Drosophila melanogaster: one gene and its partner. The protein of the gene in region 1 interacts with the protein of each later gene in a pairwise test. Each region holds a gene or a part of one and is shown on either strand. Other genes may lie near its edges. The genes, in order: CG11768 and Mes2.

Region 1 (8,076 bases):
TTCTTTAACTTCATCGTGTTAGGCTCACTTACTTTAAGGTTCGTCTGGGGGAATGGGATGCTGCCAGTACGAGCGAACCGATTCCCGCCCAGGATGTGTACATCTCGAATGTGTACGTCAATCCGTCCTTCAATCCCAACAATCTGCAGAACGATGTGGCCATCCTGAAGTTGTCCACACCCGTTTCGCTGACCAGCAAATCCACTGTGGGCACTGTCTGTCTGCCCACCACCAGTTTCGTGGGTCAGAGATGCTGGGTAGCTGGGTGGGGCAAGAATGACTTCGGTGCCACCGGAGCGTACCAGGCCATTGAGAGGCAAGTGGATGTGCCCCTGATTCCCAATGCCAATTGCCAGGCGGCGCTGCAGGCAACCCGACTGGGCTCCTCCTTCGTCCTCAGTCCCACCAGCTTCATTTGTGCCGGCGGAGAAGCTGGCAAGGATGCCTGCACCGGGGATGGGGGATCTCCGCTTGTCTGCACCAGCAATGGTGTATGGTACGTGGTGGGTTTGGTGGCCTGGGGCATTGGATGCGCCCAGGCAGGAGTTCCGGGTGTCTATGTCAATGTGGGCACCTATCTGCCCTGGATCCAAACAACGCTGACGTTATAGAAACCAATTTTAAACAATAAACTTTACTGCTTGCTTAATATTCTTTTCTTAGTGAAAACATTTTAATATAACATTTAAAATTTTAAAACGATTTTCATTACATTCATTTAATAAGACTAAAATTTATTTCATTTTATGTTATGTATATTTGTTTATATTTCTCTAAACATATTGGACAATTTATTTATATTTGACTGCAACCATTCATATTCAGACAACAGGGAATTTAACTAATCAACGTAATGGCAATCAATGGCTTAATAACGCAATCCCAGAAGTTCGTAGAGCGGCACCTCAGCCACAGATTCACTGGCGCTGGACTCCTCAAAGTCACCGCTCTGCAGGAGATACTGTGGCCGCTCCAGTTCCGGATGGGCCAGATAGAAATCGATCAGGGCAGTGGTGCTCCGCAGGTGGGTGATGCCCTTAAAGATCTTCTCGCGGGTCAGCAGATCATCCGGATAGACTGTCTTAATGACGGTGTCCCCGGATCGTTTTAACCACGGACGATCCTTCAGTGGAACAGTGCGTCCAAATGCACTTAGCAGGGGTTTCTGGTTCACTCGGGTAGCGTGGTCATTAATGTGCTTCTCGTACTTAAGCTCAATGGCCATCTAGAAATGTAATATAATTAATAATCTGGATAACTTGTATATTGATTATAAGGGGATTTCTCTATCGTTACCTACATGTGGCTTGTTCCATTTATCGGCCACTGTCTGAGCAATGGCGTTGACCTCCTTGGGATCTGTCTTCACGGAGGCCAACAGGGTGCGATCGCCCTTGATGGAAAAAAGGTTCTTGACCTTTTCCGGGGTCAAATTGCTTTCCAAGGTGCCAAAGGAGTTCAGCCACTCGACAAAACGTTCTGCCGACTGTGGAGATGGGAATTTTAAGGATATAATGTAATAGAAAAGGGTAACCATACTAACCGCATCCATGAGGTTCTCAGCCTGCTCGTCCAGCGTGACCATGGAGAAGTTCTGGCCCGGATGCTCAACGCGACTCTGCCAGCTGACTCTCTTATCGCGCGGCGCGCACAGAAACTTGGCGTACCAACTGGACTTGTCCACGAATCGATGGGTGTGTCCCACCGGCTCATCCAACTTCAGATCAAACTTCTCGAACTCGTGCTCCATGCGCACAATATCCGAGTGGTCACTCTCGTTGAAGTACTCCTCCACCTTCTTGCGGCCAATTTCAAGGAGCTAAATTATCAGAGGATTTATATAAGGTATTGTGGAAAAGGCTCAAAACTACTCCATATCTACCACGTGGTCCTCTTCCTCCTCACTTTTTTCGCTGCTCTCGGCGCTCATGTAGTCCTCGGGTCGCACCTCCTGCATTTCGTCTCTGATGTAGATGTCCTCGTCCGACTTGGAATAGTCATAGTTCTGGATGCGCTTGACCCTCTCGCGCAATCGTGGCGGCAGCACAAGGGAATAGTCAATGACGGGAATGCGCGGCTGGAAGCGGCAGGCGGCACTGAACTCCACATCCTCAATGGCCGCGTTCCAGTAATCCTTGCCCACCAGTCCCTCACGACTTGTCAGTTTGGAGAATCCGCTCATCCCAGTGCTGGAGGATCGCTCCTTCTGCATGAGCTGCGCCTTCGTCTCCATCCGTTTGGCCTTAACTGGCTTGGCCGTAGTCTGACCAATCGTGGAGTCCAGTCGGGCGGATCGCAACATTCGGTTGATAATTGGCCGATTGGACCGCGCCACAATCGTGTTTCGCACAGTCGACCCATACTGGTGCTCCCTCCTAATTGACATGTCTGCGACTAGAAAGAATATATAACGAAACTGCCGCCGGTGGAGTATCGGAATTTTCGTTCAGTTTGTTTGTTCAATACACATTCGAGTTTCGTTCTATGACAACCAGAGCTTGTAGGCGAGTGTAACACACCATCTGCTGAAATCTATATCGTATAACCTTAGGCAGCTGATTCTAAATTGTGCACATTAGCTTGAGGATGTTCTCCATAGTACTTACATACTTATTTGCTTAAAGGTATTTATTAAATATAACCCATCAGAGTTTATTAGAAAGGTGAAGGTCTGCTGATCTTAGTGATTTTACTTGCATAGAGAGTCACTTTAAGTGACCCGCTTAAAGACGGCCGGGTCTGCTGGGGCAACGATTTAAGTGAAACCATTATGGCAATAATTGCGTATACGACCCGTTGGTGCGCTGCGAACACAAAGAATGTCCGACGGGTGGCAAAAAATCAGAGTGGCACACACAAACGAAAGCATAGGTAAAGCAAGCGGAGTCGGGCTAAAATTTATACCCAAAAGCCAACAGGTTGCCCGAGCCATCTGTTTTACTTTGCTTTCAGTGTGTGCAAACTCATGGATGGGCAGACAGACACCACACGCACACACAATCCCAAAGGCAGACACCTCTGGCCATTTGATGCTCACTTAGCTGCGTCCCACTCATAAACAAGCCACTCATTTGCAGCCAATGCCCAAGGGGTTAATCCCCCCGAATAACCCCTCCAATTTCCCTTATTCACGGCGTGAAATTGGCATGCAAATTTTATGAAATTCGGTACAATTTAATAAAGACTGTGCCTGCACAAAAGGAAAAGGTTCAGTTATGTGATTTAAGGCGTACATCATATATTGATTGGTATTTTTTAAATATCAGCTTTCAATAATTTTACGTTCTATTATATTTAGGTAACAATAATTATTTGTTAAGAAAATGTGGTAACTTATAAGATATTTTAGAAAAATTTTAAAATCTAATTTGCATTTATAAAATTTGTCTGCGGCAATTCCAATGATTTAATGTGGCATCCGACTCACCTCAAGTCCCTTCCGTTGCAAACCGGAAATGAATCACGTCGCACAAAAACTGAAAATCCAAAAAGGATATAAAAATAAGCGGCGAACCGAGTAAGCGCGTAAAAAATGCAAGCGGCAAACGACAGGAAGGCAAAGCAACAATTCAGCCATAAAGGCAGTCATGCTAATACTGAATCCCACTCAAACAGCCGAGTGCCAACTGCAACTACTCACTCGAAGAGCCGATTGAAGCCGAGCAGCGAGTCCTTAGACGGAGTTCCTTCAGTCCGTCCTCGGCTTTCGAGCGTTTCAGTCGCGAGTTCGGATCGAAAAGGACACTGGACGAGTGCAGAGCGTTCCAAGTGGTACCAACAACAAATGCCTCAGTATTATAGCCAATGCTAGAAAGTGTTAGTGTTGTTTCGCTTGATTTCAGCCAAGTCAAAAGCCAGAAGCAGTGTTGTGTAATCCAGTGAAGATGAATACTATCTATGGCCATTAAACGGAGCATTATTTCCTGATTAAATGCTGTGCTTTCATGCGACACACTTTGCTAGTGTTGTTAGTTGACTTAACCTAATGGCCTTCATGTCGCCATCAAGTCGGAGTGACACGCCGACGGCGCTTACGCCCCTCCCACAGACATTTAATGCCAATTAAAATGTTTGCTCTTTGATGTTTCCATTGCAGAATGAATGGGGAAACCAAATGCCAGCGAGATCAAAAATAATAAAAAAAAAGAAAAATGCAAATATTAAACAGATATAAAGCCGAGAGCCCCAAATGAACCAACGTATTAAGAGCCCTAATCGTAAGCGAAAGGCGAACCAAGTTTTGTAGCATACTTTTTTGGGTTTACGTCATGTTTGTCTACGCGAACCGCCATTTGTGCTTGTGTGCTTGAGTCCGCACACAAACACGCACACCATTATGTCGCCTGTATTCGTGCCTGTGTCTGTGCCTGTGTTTGTGTTTGCATTGGTGTCTGTGGGCCAGAATGCATGCCAATCAGTATCAGAATCAGAGTCCTAAATCCTGAGTCCTGAGTCCTGAAACCTGAATCATCGACTGTCCAAACATCGTGCATTGCTTTTATCCGCCTGGGCTAATTAGCTGCAGGTAACAGGTAGCTGGTCCTTGTGCCGTTTTACGTAAGTGTTCCTCCCACATCCACATGCATTCCCCCATGAGTGTCCAATTAATTTTAAATACCACACATTTAACTAAGTGCCTTGCATTGTCTCTGTGCCGTCTACTAGCCAAACCAAAGCCATGTCTTCGTTCATAAACCAAACACATCTTTCGAATCCAGCTCATGCCCGCCACTCAAATACAATTTTCAACACTCGAGCTTAATTGAGAAATGCATGTACATCTAATGCATATTTGGAATTGCATAAAACAGCTTTCGAATTAATTTAATTTGCATATCGACCTGATAGTTTCCTTGAACACTTTCATTTTGCTTGATTTCTTCTACTTTAAGTCCAGAATGGTCCTTGAATGATTTGAGTTCAATTCCATTTGTTTTTTTAAATTGAATGCTAAGCGTAAGTGTAATTTCCTGCACCTATTTATAAGCATGAATATTTAAAATATTTCCGCCCGCACTTACCCCGATTCCCCCAAAATCTCAATTTCGATTTGGCCCTTTCCGCTTCCTGTCAATCTGCAAACGATGGCAGCGACATTAGCTCTCGACTCTAGAGAACTCTATAAATAAATGAGAATTGTGGGTAGCGCGCCATTGCGAGAGGATATGGGTGAGTATACCGCGGGAGGAAGAGCTGTTGCGATGCGATGGCATATCCATGTCCTGCATGTCCTGCTGACCCTCCACGAACGGGGGATTACTCATACGTCGTTTAATATGAAAATATAATTCGCTTTTTGTTGTGCCATGTACTCTCTTCTGTGGTCTTTCCCGCTGTGCGTGTGGCCAAGAGATATGGGTACGCGTGGTATCCCCACGTTCCCCTTCCGTCACCCGATCCTTCATTTTTCCACGCCGCAGGACACAAGGACCGCAATCAGCTAAGCAAACGCGTCAAATGCATACATTTTCCACCAGCCGTGCGACAAGCTCTTAATAGAACAAGAAAAACTGCGGCGTGGAAACAAACCGATGTGGTCAATGCCCTAAAAATGTAATTGAAAAATTGTACTTTATTTGTAAATTGCCTTCAAAGTATGGCGGTATTATCTTAAATTATGAAAAACGCCCCAATTGCAAAACAACTTTAATGACTTGCAATAAAAAATGTGCTTAGAAATTAGGATTCTAAAACAAGCCCCAAGGCAATAAAAAACAAATTGCATCTGAAAGTTCGATGATTCAAATTAAAAATACATTTTTATCCGTTCGTCTAAAAACCAGATATTCAGAAGGCTTTTCTTTAGAACAAACTTAATTAGTATCCTTTGAAGAGTATCTTGAAATGATGAGTGATGGCGCTGACAGGCGAGTTGTTCACAGTTTTGCGACGGATTCCTAGCGCTTATATGACACATGAGATGCATTTGAGTGAAATGTGCACACAGACTGATGTATGCAGTCATATGCTTTATGGCCTTTCAGGTTGCAAAATATTTACCCAGTCATGGTAATCATCTGAAAGGTATCCAATAAATGTTGCTATTCGATTGACGGAAGCCAAGCCCGTGTCACAGATGTGTTCTTCGGATGGTGATAACTTTGATTGGGAATCTCGACATTTCCACATTGAGCACTTCAACGAGCGCGGAGTGCGGAAAATTCCTATCAGGTGCAAGGACTACAATGCAATCCCCGCACGCTGGCAGTTCGATCCATTGAGAAGAACAGGCAATGTCAATCTGGCAAGGATGGTACATAACCCCACCTCCTCCCTGTTTTTCTCCTGCCTTAAAACTTTTCCATGGCAGAGGGCAAAAAAATCGAAGCGTTTGACATGTGGCCAACATGTCAGGGGAGTTCCCATTCTCCATTCTTGTGTTGTGTGTTCTTGCCTCGCGGCGTTGGCAAGGTATGGATTGAATGCAACCAGGTGGGGGCATCTAAGACATGGAGCCAGGCATTTTACAGATGCGCCACTGGCCAAAGTAGAAAAAAAAGATGATATTTCTATTCCGAGCTGTATCAATTAAATGTAAGGAACTCAACTATGATGATAGAAACTATTGATTGACCTTCAATGTCACATTCATTAATCTCCTAGAGCTTCCTTTTTAAGAAGTTTTCCACTGTGCAGTTGCAACTTGCTTAAAGAACAAGAACACTTGAGGGAATAGAGGCAGTCTTCATATGGATACCCGCATCCTCGTATGGCCATCGGCAATGCTGCATGTCTGGGGGAGTGCGAGTCCTGCATTGTGGCGCCACATCCGAGTAGTGGGCACCCAGAATGGAGAACTGGGAGCCGAAAACTGAAGACTGGCACTATTTGCTGACGGTCTCGGCCTCCTTTGTCAGCCATTGTTTGACTAGATGGCCTTGTGCTCCATTTCACACAGTCGAGTGGCACGTCACAATATTTTATAGTTATGGTGTGTTTCATTGACATAAGTTGGCTTTGTTTGGCAAAGTGTGTTGGCTGGTTTTATGTGGGGCGCGCAATAAATAAATTAGCCACAAATCACAACGTTTAAGCGTGGTATGCTAACTATAGCATAAGCATAAACAGTAATTTTATGTTGGCAACTTTTGATTTATTGCACAACGTTGTTATATGACATGAAGGCAGTAAGACAGTAACAAAGCACCAAAAACATGGCCTGTAATTGCTGTCAGCGGGTGACTTTTCGGTGGGTGGTGGCTTAGGCCATGGCCAAGTCTACAAAATATGGCCGCTCTTTCTTTCCTTCCCTCAGACTTTTTAAGGCAACTTTTTTCTACACGTTCTCAGAATGTATACGTATTAAAAATTTGGCAAGACATGCGACATTTTTAGCCCTAATTTGAGAGCACTCAGTGATGATGATAACGATTTTGAACTTTTCATTATGCAAAGTGATCAAAAGTGGCATTAATAATTCAGGCACACATAAGAAAATTAAGCAACGAGCCATGTCAAAGATAAGGACCTTAATTTGTATATACACACACGTATATATTATTTCAATTGCCATATCAAATTATGGCCACTCAGCGTCGTGGGTGTGGCCTTCTTAATGCCTTAATGGATATCAACTTGAGGTTAAAGTTCAGAATACCCTATAAATGTTTTAAAACAATTTTTTTATATTTTAGTGTCTACAAATATTACTGACAAGAAAGATCTTTGAATATTGGTGCATATTTTAGCACTTTTAGCGAACCAAATTTTCGGCAAACTCAGCTCGTTATCAACTTTATTACTGCGAAACTTCTTTAGCTGATTTTTCCATGGAATCTTGAACCCAAAAGAAAACTTTTCCGACTCTTACCCACAAACACTGAAATCGTATTTTTCTTTGTATTTTTGGGTAAATGTTTTTTCTGTTTTTTTTTTCTTGGTTGAAAATGAAAACTTACGGGCACTGCTCAATTGAAATGCGCATTTGGAAAATTGGCAAAAACAAGTGACTGAAATTCAATATTATATATGTATATATTTAATATATATTATATGGCAGAGGGAAACTTTCCATCCGCCAGCCAGTTTGAAAAATAAGCACAAACCGGTCCTGACCTGCGTGGCAATATTGGCCAA
Region 2 (11,381 bases), on another chromosome or scaffold:
CCGATTTGGGGTTTGATTTCGGTCTTATCGAATGGTTACTAAGACGAAGATAATACAGTTACCATCGTTCATTTTATTACGTATTAATGCTCATACCTTGAAAAATTCTCTCTCTTCTGACATTTTGACCTGAGTCAATATTTATCAGCTTTCTACTTACAGCCAATACATTATTTGCATTAAATATCGATTACACATTCTGATAAGTGACCCGAGGCGAAAGATAGGCCGTTAACCACAATATGTACAATATCAACAAATACTTTAAAAAGTAAGTGCAGGCAAACTTTTTTTACAGTTGAGTAGCGTATTGTCCTATAAAACTTAATATAGGTTAAATTTTAAGATAAAATTAAAAACTATAATCTTGCCATATTCGTCCCTCCGTACATCTGAGGGTTTGTTCTTGTGTGCCAAAAAGATTTTCGCCACAAGGTGCAAAAAGTTACCATGGAAACCCTTTTTAACAAGAGAGAAAGCTATAGTCGAGTTCCTCGACTATCATATGCCCTTTACTCAGCTAGAGAGTAATTTAAACATTTATTTGACATATCGATAGAAATTGGGAAAAAATATAATAAAACGAAACAAATCGAAACATGTTTCAAAAGTGTAGGCGTGCTCTGCATGCCTAGTTGAAGTTCTCTAGCTTTCATAGTTCCTGAGATCGATGCCTTCATACGGACAAGACTAGATCCTCTGTATTTTCAACAAAAAGCTCAATGAATAACATTTTCGAAACTATTTTAACTACTGAGGCCACAATCTAATCTAATCTTGCAGACCTTGGTGTCGACTCGAATCTTATATCTTTAGCAGTTTTGAATCGGCTAACCGAGCTTAAGTTCCTCAGAAGACGATCGTTGGACATCTTTTTTTTCCGTCCCAGGCTTTTGTTTTGAGTGTCAGTTTTTCAATGTTCGTTGAGAAATCCCCGATAGAAAATGTACTTAAGCCAATGTAGTATTCATATCACGAAGGCTTAAGATGCACTTATTTTCAACATAATCCAATTTAAAATCTAATTTTTTACCTAATAAGCTTAAAAATAACTAGTTGTTTTAGAATTCTCAATTTTTATGTAAGAAATTTTCGAAATAGATCTAAATTCTATATGTAAACATAGTCTCTTCGGGGGTCCATAAATTGAATGCAAGCTAGTCTGTAAAATCAAAGTTAAGACCTATGAGAGACAGCAAGTAGAGTAAATAGGTATACAAGATTCGTTGAAAAGTATGTAACATGCAGAATTAATTGTTTCCGACCATATACGGTGTATAAATATTCTTGATCAGGATCAATAGCCGAGTTTATCTGGCCTGTCCGTTCGTCTGTCCGTCCGTATGAACGTCGAGATCTCAGGTACTATAAAAGTTGGAAGTTGGTTGAGATTAAGCTTAGAGATTCCAGAGATATAGACGCAGCGCAAGTTTGTTGACTCATGTTTCCACGACCACTATAACGCCCGAATCTGAGAATTATGTTATATTTCTTTCGTCTATTCCTTTCGTCTATTTCGATTTGATGGAATCCAGATATCAGGTCTATGTCAAGTTTGTGTGTATGTAAGTAAATTGTGGATAAACTAACCTTGTATACCCTTGCGCTCTGTGAACAAACGGTCCAATAGCTCAGGCAATCTTCAGATCTGGCCAGATACATATGCATGTAGCTGTGGATAAGAGAAGACAGCAGCGGAAGCAAGCTATTGCCTTGGTAAGGAGGGTGGGGAATCTGATATAGGGCGGAGATCGCAGAGTTTTGCCAGAAAAATGATCGTGACAACGTTTGTGCGGGCACGTTGTGCTGCTTGTTGTTGTCCCAAAACAGAATACATTAATTGACACTTGGCCGGAAATAGTTCATTAGGCATAAATTACGTACAGACAAAGCGTTTTCATTTTTCTCTGGCTCTCTGTTCGCCATTTGCTTCCCTACCGACGCGGTTGTCGATTGCAGTTACTGGATTTCAGCGGCTTAAATGATCGGGGGACAAAATAGACAACCTCGGACGGTCTTATCTGTGCTGCCACTCACACACACGCATTCGCTCAAACGCATTCTCACTCTAACACTCTCGGTGCCTCCCTGTCACTCCTTGGCAAGACCAACATGTGTGATCCAAATGTTCATTTGTAAATTCTATAAACGGGGAAATACGATAATGAACTGAACTTCGACTCTACAACTGCAGCGAACGAAGCCAGCCACGGGCGGAGTCCACAAAAACACACTGTGGTAGAACACTAACCCACCCTTCTTCAACTATTCATTGCTTAAGCTATGGCCAGGCCCCCTGGAAAAAAATTATAAATCTTTAAGTCAAGCAGCCAGCCATTGATGGAATCAGATCGTCCGATGAGTATATTTAGCCCTCTTTACATTTAACAACAAATTTGTGCTCTTATATCGTAAATTCTACACAAAATTATTTATCTTCCAGTAATTATACTCGTTACTCGTAGTATAAAAGAGTATATTAGATTCGTTAAAAAGTATTTAACAGATAGAAAGTATTCATATTATTGATCAGGATCAATAGCCTGTCCGTCCGTTGAACGTCGAAATCTCAGGAGCTATAAGAACTAGAAGGTCAAGATTATGCATACAGATTCTAGAAACATAGACACAGAGCCAGTTTGCTTCCACGCCCACAAGTCGGGCAAAACTGTCACGCCCACACTTTTGAAAACTGTTTTGATATTCTTTCATAGTTTTATTAGTCTTGCAAATGTGTATGGTTTTGCAAAAAAACTTTTAAAAAAGTTTTGATATTTTTTCATCTTTTTTAATTATAAATTTTTATCGATTATGCCACACCCACTATCGACCGTAAGCCGCAGAAACCTGTCACGGACACACATTTGAAAAATATGTTATATCTTTTTTTCACATTTTTATTAGTATTGTAAAATTCTATCGATTTGCTACAAAAACTTTATGCCACGCCCACTCTAACGACCACAAACCTCCCATTTCTTCTTGTCCAATATCTATCGATGGTCCTAAAAAATTATGAAATTTCGCGTTCTCACTTCCACTAGCTGAGTAAAAGGTATTTGATATTCGGGGAACTCGTGCGTTCTCTCTTCTTATTTATTTAAAACAAGAGAGAACAATAGTCGATTACTTTCGACTATCAGATACCCGTTACTCAGCGAATTTTGAGATTTTTTTTGTCATTTCGATGGAAATTTACATTTATATAACAAAATGAAATGAAAATCAAATCCCTTTTCACAACTGAGAGCAGGATACCTGGCCAATAAACGGTTTCATGGCGTCTGGATAGGCTTGCGAACGCACTAACTTGCATGCGAACGGACAGGCGGACAGATCAAGATTATATGTATGTGTGTACTCCAGTAAACTTATAATTATTATGTTAGTCTAAAACCTTAATGCGTTGGAGATTTACAATAAATGTATGTACATATGTACATAGTCATGAATTCTTTAAATTCCTCGAAATTGTTCCGATACGGGAATCGACCCCCCTATATTAATTGAAGCTGATATGGCCGAAGTGCAGCGTATTCTGCCAAGAAACGCTATCCAAGTATTTTGGTACGTATGTATGTATGTACATACATGTGTATATGGTACATTCATGTAGTACATACATACATATGTATGCAAGTACGTACGAACGCTCGACAATTCCTCTGCTAAAACCAAATGCGAACGCGTCAACGGATTTTTGTATTACACACATTTTCTGTTGTTTCGTTCTGCGCGTTCTCCCTGTTGTGTGTGTGTGTGTGTGCGACGCCGCTTTTCGCTTGCTTTTACTTTCTGTGGCTTGTGATTGCGATTAAACGGGGTTTCCATCCGGCGAGTCGCGCTCTAGGCAGCGCCCGGAGAGCGCTTTAGACCTATATGTCTGGATCAGATAACGGGAACGGTGGCAGCGAGCCACGGCCGGAGAGAGACAGAGAGCGCAAAGAGCTATAGCTGGCTCTCATGTCGATGTCGAATGCGCGTGATTTTTTGGCTCTGAATGCGGGCTTGCTGCCAACTGCGCTGCCGGCTCGGCGTCGACGACGGCTGAGCGCAGCCCGCTTGCCGCGGTGGTTGTTATTTTCTGGTCTTGGTTTTTAGTTGCCGTTTAAACTTGGTCGTGAGAGGGTAGCAGCCCCGTTATCAGCCGACCGCGATCGCGTCCGAACTAAAGAGTACTGTGGAGCCCTGGCCAGTTCAAGCCTTCAAATCCTCCAGAACATTCTGATGGCGCCCGTGAGCGGCTGTTTGCCCACCGCCACCCACTCGCTGCAGGACATGAGTGCTGCCGCCGCGGCAATCGCTCTTGACATGAAGCCCAAGTTGGAGCCCCACCCCCTGGCCGCCGCAACTGCCATGCCCTCTCAGAAGATAAAGAAATGTGCGTACACAGATTTATTCCCCACATTCATGCAAACATACGTACATACATATGTATATATGTACAATTTTTATGCAAAATGCAGTCGAAAGTCGATACGTCGAACAAGCAGTAGAATTTATTTTATCTCTTCATTGCCTATTCAAATAGTTCGGTTCACCCTATGTGCAATGTACATACATATACGTACATACGTATGTATGTACATTTGGGTTAAAAAAGTTCGACTTATAGAAGTTTTGAGGTGCCTGTACCGTGCTTTCTTAAAATATTCGACTGTCGAGACTCGAGGACTTATATTATTTGCATTCATTTTTGTGTCCCAACAGTGGTTCGGCGCAACGCCTCCGACAAGCTGAAGCTCATCCAAATGGTGCACGACAATCCAATTCTCTGGGACTCCCGTCTCCCGAATTTCAAGGGCGCCGAAGAAGAAAAGAACCGAGCCTGGGAGCACATAGGCCGCGAGTTCAACGCTCCCGGGCGTCGCGTTGCACGGGCCTTCAAGTCCTTGAGGGAATCCTACCGCCGTGAACTCGCCCACGTCAAGCTAATGGGCAATGGCTTCAAGCCCAAGTGGAGTCTCTATGAGGCCATGGATTTCCTGCGCGATGTCATCAGAGAACGAAAGTAAGTATAAGGAATAGTATTTTAGTGAACTGGTGACCAGGTGATTCTCTTAAATTTAAAACCGTCAAGGAAGTTTCATGCCAATATCGACTCCTGGGGTTGACCAGTAATATAGAGCCCGTTATGAATTTTGCATTCTCTGCTTGACCCATTATTGCCACACCACAAATCATGTCACTAAAAATGATCTTCATCCAAATGGCTTTACAAAAGCAAAAGCAATAATAGAACACGAGAGAAGAGCGCTTAAATTTAAAATTTGACAGAAATACGAGTCATTCTTATAATCGAATAGTAAAGTACATGAAATTCTATATCAACGAATAATTATTACAGAACGTATTGCACTTATTTCCAAGTTTTCTTTTAATCTTTCTAGGCAATATTTACCTTTCCCAAAATGATCTTAATTAACGTACTTATTCTTATCCTCTGCTTTTTGGAGATCGATACCAAAACAAATCTAAAAGTGGAACCGTTATTTCTCAAAAGTAATGCTCCCTTACGACTACAGTTCTTCAATAATATCGTCTTACACTCTGAACATTATTTGTGTCAGGAGTACATTTGGCTACTTATATTACAATGAGTTTGATAAGCCGTCACTAACCATACAACCATCGAACAACGGTCAAAGTTTGGCTTGAGTCGTGAATAACAGTTTTCGGTTTAGATTGGTCTTCTGTTTTGGTCATACACGGATTGATTCATGCGAAACAAATACATGCATCAGTTTGAAGACTAGCTAACTTATACACAATAATAATGTGACTCACCTTTCCAACGATCATTTACATTGGTCGAAGGTATTGTATGCTTTCCAGTCCTGTGTCTGAAAGAGGTTTTTCCGAATCTGCCCCCCTAAAAATATGTGTGCTTGTCAGTAGTCAGTCAAGCGAACAATGTTGTTTAGCTTGGCTCAATCAAAAATAATTATTGCAGGAAATTCCAAGAATCTTATCATTTTATGCGAGTAGCCACTTCAGCTTATGTACACTGAGAAGTGTATGAGTTTGTGAGTCATGGCTTAGATCTAATGTTGGACAAAATATGTCAATAAATTTATTTCAAAAATCATAGAATCACGGACTTCGTAAAGATCTGACAATTTAAATAAATTGAGAATTCGGAAATATGTTCAGATCGAATAGACAATACATACAATTGTCACATAAAAAACATGTGATAAGTTTAGCATAAAGTTATTCGAACCGTAACTACGAAATTCCACTTCCATTCGAGCCTTCGTACAAAACTCATCCCTTAGCCCAGTCGATTTGCATAAACGCCCAACAATTCGAGCAAATCTCAGCACCGTGTCTGAGAAAACATCTGCCCAGCGAAAAAGAATAGCAAAAACAAGGCAAGGGGGCATATGGACACTAAGGAGCGGTAATGTGGAAAAAACCAATCCGAACAAAGGAATGACCGGGCCAGAGACCCGCAAATGGTCTCAGTCGAGAGTCTGCCCCGTCCAATGTTCTGGCTCATATGGAGCCGTGCTCGAGCTGCGGGTGTGTGTGTGTGTGTGAGTGTGTGTACTTTATGTACATATTTATATGAAATAAGGCCATTTCCTTTCAATTGACTGTACCCACATGGGCAACAAGCAGTCGACGGCCCCGACACATGCCCGCGCACACTCACCCATGGTGTGTGTATATATTTAAATTTTTATTATTGTGAGCTGATAACAGACAGCTCAACGGGCCCGGCCAGTCGGGCAGCGCTTGAGCCGGAGCTATAGCCGCAGCTATAGCCACAGCCATAGCCATAACACAGATCTCGCCAAGCGGCGAATATTATACAACGTCGCAGCATCGTCGCTGCTTGAACCAAAAACGAAATTGAGGGAAGCTGCAAACGCAAGACCAAGTCCATCGAATAGTGCTTGCGAGAGGGGTGGGGACTATGGGAAGGCGCCGAGAGAGCGATAAATTAATGAGAGCACTACGAAAATGACAATCAGCACCGAAGAATACGGATTGCGAGTGGACCAAGTTGGGAAAGACTGGTAGCTCGTGAGCGAGAAAGGGGCTGGTAAGGGAAAATGAGCGAGGTTCTGCCTGTGTGTGTATGACATGAGCACCGAACACTCGTAAAGATCGCTGTATGGGTGAGCTGAGTAATTGAACGAATAGCTTGGTCTGACTTCGGCCAGGGTTAAAAATATGCCCACGACCATTAGCCAGCCGCATCGGCCGCGTCCCGGCCAAGGGGTTGCTGAGACCCAGAGTCGGGGTCTGGACGCCTCTTTCAGGCTGCCCTGGCCCACATGCTTTCGTCGTTCAGTCCTCTCTTAATGGGGGGCTCTCGTACCCTCACCCTCACACACACGAGGCCACTTGGGTGTGAAAGTTCTGCTGGGCTCTGTCTGTGTCACGCTTATGATTTAATAAGCAAATGTGCTGCGAAATTGCTGAAATTGTTTGGCTGTCCGTCATCCCCACAATCCGAATCTCGCCCCACGCCCTGAAATCACTGTCCGCCGTATTTCGCATTGAAATGCTTTAGCCAATGCGTCACGGAAGAAGAAAAGTGGGCGGTAGTCCGTGCTTGCCTTTTGATTCTCGTACCTTTAAATGCCTTTGCATGGAGCTAGTTCTTGCCTAATAAATCATAATAAAAAGTTCTAGGTCTGCAAAAATCTAAAATCTCATTCGGACCATTGGAATATTTAATTATGTTATTATTATATTAATATTCATAGATTTGTTTCCAAGTGCAGGTGATAGAGATTTTAGAAAACGAATTCAAACCACAAAAACCCATAAACAATCTCGGAAAACGGCTTGGGACCTAAGCAAGAGCGGAAGCAAATAATGATAAGCTGAGCGATTCAAACCCCGAAAAGAAACCAAGTCAAAATAATGAAGTAAATAAAGCCATTCCCGATTGTGGAACATGTGAAAATGTATTTCGACTCGATTAGTCCTGCGAGTTTTTTGGTCTTGGCTGGCGAGCGAGTATCAGTTTTCAAATTTTACAATTGTCAACTACCTGCAGCCGATTGCGGTGATAAGGCTGTCTTCTAGGTCGCCCATGCCCGTGCCTACCACTAGGCCAGGTCTTTGCATTCGGCAAATAACTATAGGTATGGGGGAGGCCCAAAATAGCCACGTTCAGATGTTCTTTGAGCACCCGGCCCAGGCAGCTGCATTGCCTGTGAAAATGCTCTTGAAACTTGAGACGCGTAAGGAGAGAGACAGGAAGCGATACTACACTGAAAGACATTTATGTTTATGCATTTCTTGTGTTATTGCCTTAAACAGACAAGATTTCAAAATGGGGATATGAATCGTTGAGTCACAGGAAACATATGAACTCTATAAGGCTAATACAATTATATTTTTGTGTGTTTTCGAACTCACAATTAATACGAACATGCTTTCCTTATCAGGGTCACTATCCGATCGCAATGTCCGTCGGCATAAAACAAAGCTAATTAGTTGATGACAACCTAGCAAAGTTTTACGAACTTATTGATTTGTCTTTCAGACTATTCTATTTCTAATTTTTTGCCCAACGTTTTGCAAATGATTATTGCCAGCATTATTTAATATTTTTTTATTTATTGTAATTAATATAATTTAAGATAAGAGAAAGAAAATCTGTTATACTATAAATGATGTGTGAGAGACAAAGAAAAGTATTCTTTCTACTTTTAATTTAAGAACGTAGGCGGTTCTTAAAGTGTATTAAAAACAATGTACATAACCACTAGTCACGGTTATATGTTATTGTATTTAATAAATTTATTAATCTTTTTGTATGCCCTTTTAAACAACCTCCTTCATCAAATTTTTATTAGTATTCAACTTAACATCAATACAAAATAAAAAAATACCGCAGACTTGCTGCGAATATGAATATTGAATATGACGCAAAAGTAAAACCCAACCTTAAACCCGTTAAAATGTGAAATAATTTAGTCTTCTAACATATGTTCTTTCTATTATAGGGGCGCTTCGCATGCAACCGATCTAAGCCTGACAACCTATGGCCATATTAACAATAACAACAACAACAACAACAACAGTAACAGCTTGGCTGCAGGGGGAAAGGCAATGACCCTGAAGCTGTCCAATTCCTTTAACGAGTCCGCCTCAGTGTTAAATCTCTCAAAGTGCTCCTCGCTCAATGTAAGCGACGATCACTACTATTGCGACTACTATGTGAAGCCGGAGCTGGATCTCTCGGTGGGCGGTGGGGCCGGAAGTAGCACAAGTGGGAGTAGCTCCGGCGGCGGGCCACTTCCTCTGCCCGCTCACCAGGCTCACAACGACAGTCGGGTGAGCTCAACGAGAAACGAGCAAAGGGCACAGCATCACAGCTATGAAGACATGGACGACAGCTCGATACGCAGCGGGGACGAAGATATCGCCCACGCATCCGACGTAGTGGAGGAGTTGGATGCCATCGATGCAGATTTCCCTTATCCTCTGATTCTGGATTCCAACTCACGCGGTAGCCCCAATGTTGGTGTGGACGATGTGGTCATGTCCCGCAAGCTTCGCCGTAACGTCGATCAAGATGTTTTGGAGGAAGGAAACGGTCACGGCGATGCGGTTATCGATGGTGACGACTACGAAGAACAAATGCTGCAACAGCACCGCCATCTCCGGCAGCAACAGGGCGTCGCAAGCGGAGGGTTGGATCTGCCGCCCCCACAAACTGTACGTGAGGTTTTGAACTCCAAGTTCTGCGGCTTTATTTCAGCCAAGCTAAACAGCATGGAGGACTCGGACGCGGACAATTTAATGAATCGCATTCTTCTCTTACTGGTTCAAGTGCAGCAGTGCGAAGGGTCCACGAAATAGACAGCGGAGGAGAAGAGCGCTAAGTGTACGGGTGTAATTATAGTAGCCAAAAAAAAGTACATAATGGAATGATGTTGCTGCTCAGAGCACTTATAACTGAATTTTCTTGCCATTATATATTACTTTCCTAAAGAAATACAAATTTACTTGCCAATGCCAAATCTGTGCCATACCAAAAGGATCAATCAAATATGAATGATTTTCTAAAACATTCTCTAATTTTTTCGCTCCTATTAACAAAAATGAACCAAACTCAACGAAAAGACAACACAAAGACGTAAACCAAGAAATAGCAAAATAAGAAACATAGATTAATTAAGCTTTAAATGTTAATTTCGTTTTAAGTCGATCAACTGTAGTTCATACTCATGCCAACGTCTCATCACATGAAACAATTCTTTATATAACCTTTTATTTTACCCAGATTATATCGCCTATATATAATATAACTTCTTGTTAAGTTGAAAACGTAGAAATTAGAAAAGAAAAGTTTTTAACTTAAAAAAGCGAGCATATTACTCATAGTTTCATATACAGCGATATGAATATTAACAATATCTGAACACTAAATGAGAACAGCTTTAACAATTTGTCGTTTTTGAATAAAACACCATCTTTGGCAGTAATGCTTTGCTATCGATGTACGCAGACAATGTTTTGGCCATTCAGCCCAATTTAAATCAAAAATTTTGAAAAAGTTTTCCGTTTTTCGGTGGATATTGAGTAATAAAGTACCTTTAAATATAAAAAAATCAAACGTGTCTACCGAACATGAACATAATCAGCCGATTTTTATTAATTTAAATCCGAAATTATTTATAGTCAGGAATAAATATTTTATATCGATACCAAATCAGGAAACTTTGTTATCCATTTTATTCTTGCGATTATTGCTATGGCATTCACGACTGACTAGCTTTATAGACTAGGCAGTTCACATTGATGGAGCATTTATAACTTTTACGGTTGCAAATGCCCCCTTTACTGTGTGGCAAATATCTGACTAAAATCAATGTACCTTCTGCAAAGGTATACAAATTATTAATAATGCGAAAGGGGATTTTTTTCCTCTTGTTGGTTTCGGTGTAAATCTACATACTTAAAGCTCCTAAACTAAACAAAATTTGAATATGATACTCAAATAGCAACAACAGCCCTACGACAATGGAAAGCACTCACATTGGGCCTGTAACACATCCATATAGCATCCTGCCAATTCTGCTCAAGTAAGACTGCAGGAATTCCAATTCATTAATACAGAGGACGTATAGGCGAAGAACAAAGGAACAAAAGACTACAACAACGTATAAATACCATGGCAGGCAGATGTGGGTAAGCCTAGCCAAAAAAAACGGCGAATCGAGCCTGGGTATCGCTGCATATGACCGAAAAATTTATTAAGATAAATACATAGCCACATCGAAACCTACGGTAAGCAACCCCTATCAAGAGATTCGGCCTGGCCAAGGTATCTAGCTACCTCAAACCCTTAAACCCAAAAAGAGCGTTGCGCATGCGCAGAAGATGCCAAAACTCAGCCCTAGCCTCGA

Evidence for each region.
Region 2: the proteins of CG11768 (region 1) and Mes2 interact in a two-hybrid assay, tested with the Drosophila melanogaster proteins (one large-scale study listed by BioGRID).

Annotation. Positions count from the first base shown.
Region 1 is NT_033777.3:8,763,815-8,771,890, reverse strand, and holds the start of CG11768 (uncharacterized protein), read left to right. Parts: upstream 1-3,699; 5' UTR 3,700-3,771; exon of another isoform or gene 3,772-3,816; intron 3,817-4,096; 5' UTR 4,097-4,557; intron 4,558-8,076. Other genes in the region: CG13318 (uncharacterized protein), read left to right, coding at 23-611; CG8236 (uncharacterized protein), read right to left, coding at 869-1,225, 1,301-1,486, 1,544-1,819, 1,883-2,386.
Region 2 is NT_037436.4:22,941,560-22,952,940, forward strand, and holds Mes2 (Mesoderm-expressed 2), read left to right. Parts: upstream 1-4,097; 5' UTR 4,098-4,227; coding exon 4,228-4,381; intron 4,382-4,435; exon of another isoform or gene 4,436-4,625; intron 4,626-4,710; coding exon 4,711-5,011; intron 5,012-8,972; coding exon 8,973-9,831; 3' UTR 9,832-10,689; downstream 10,690-11,381.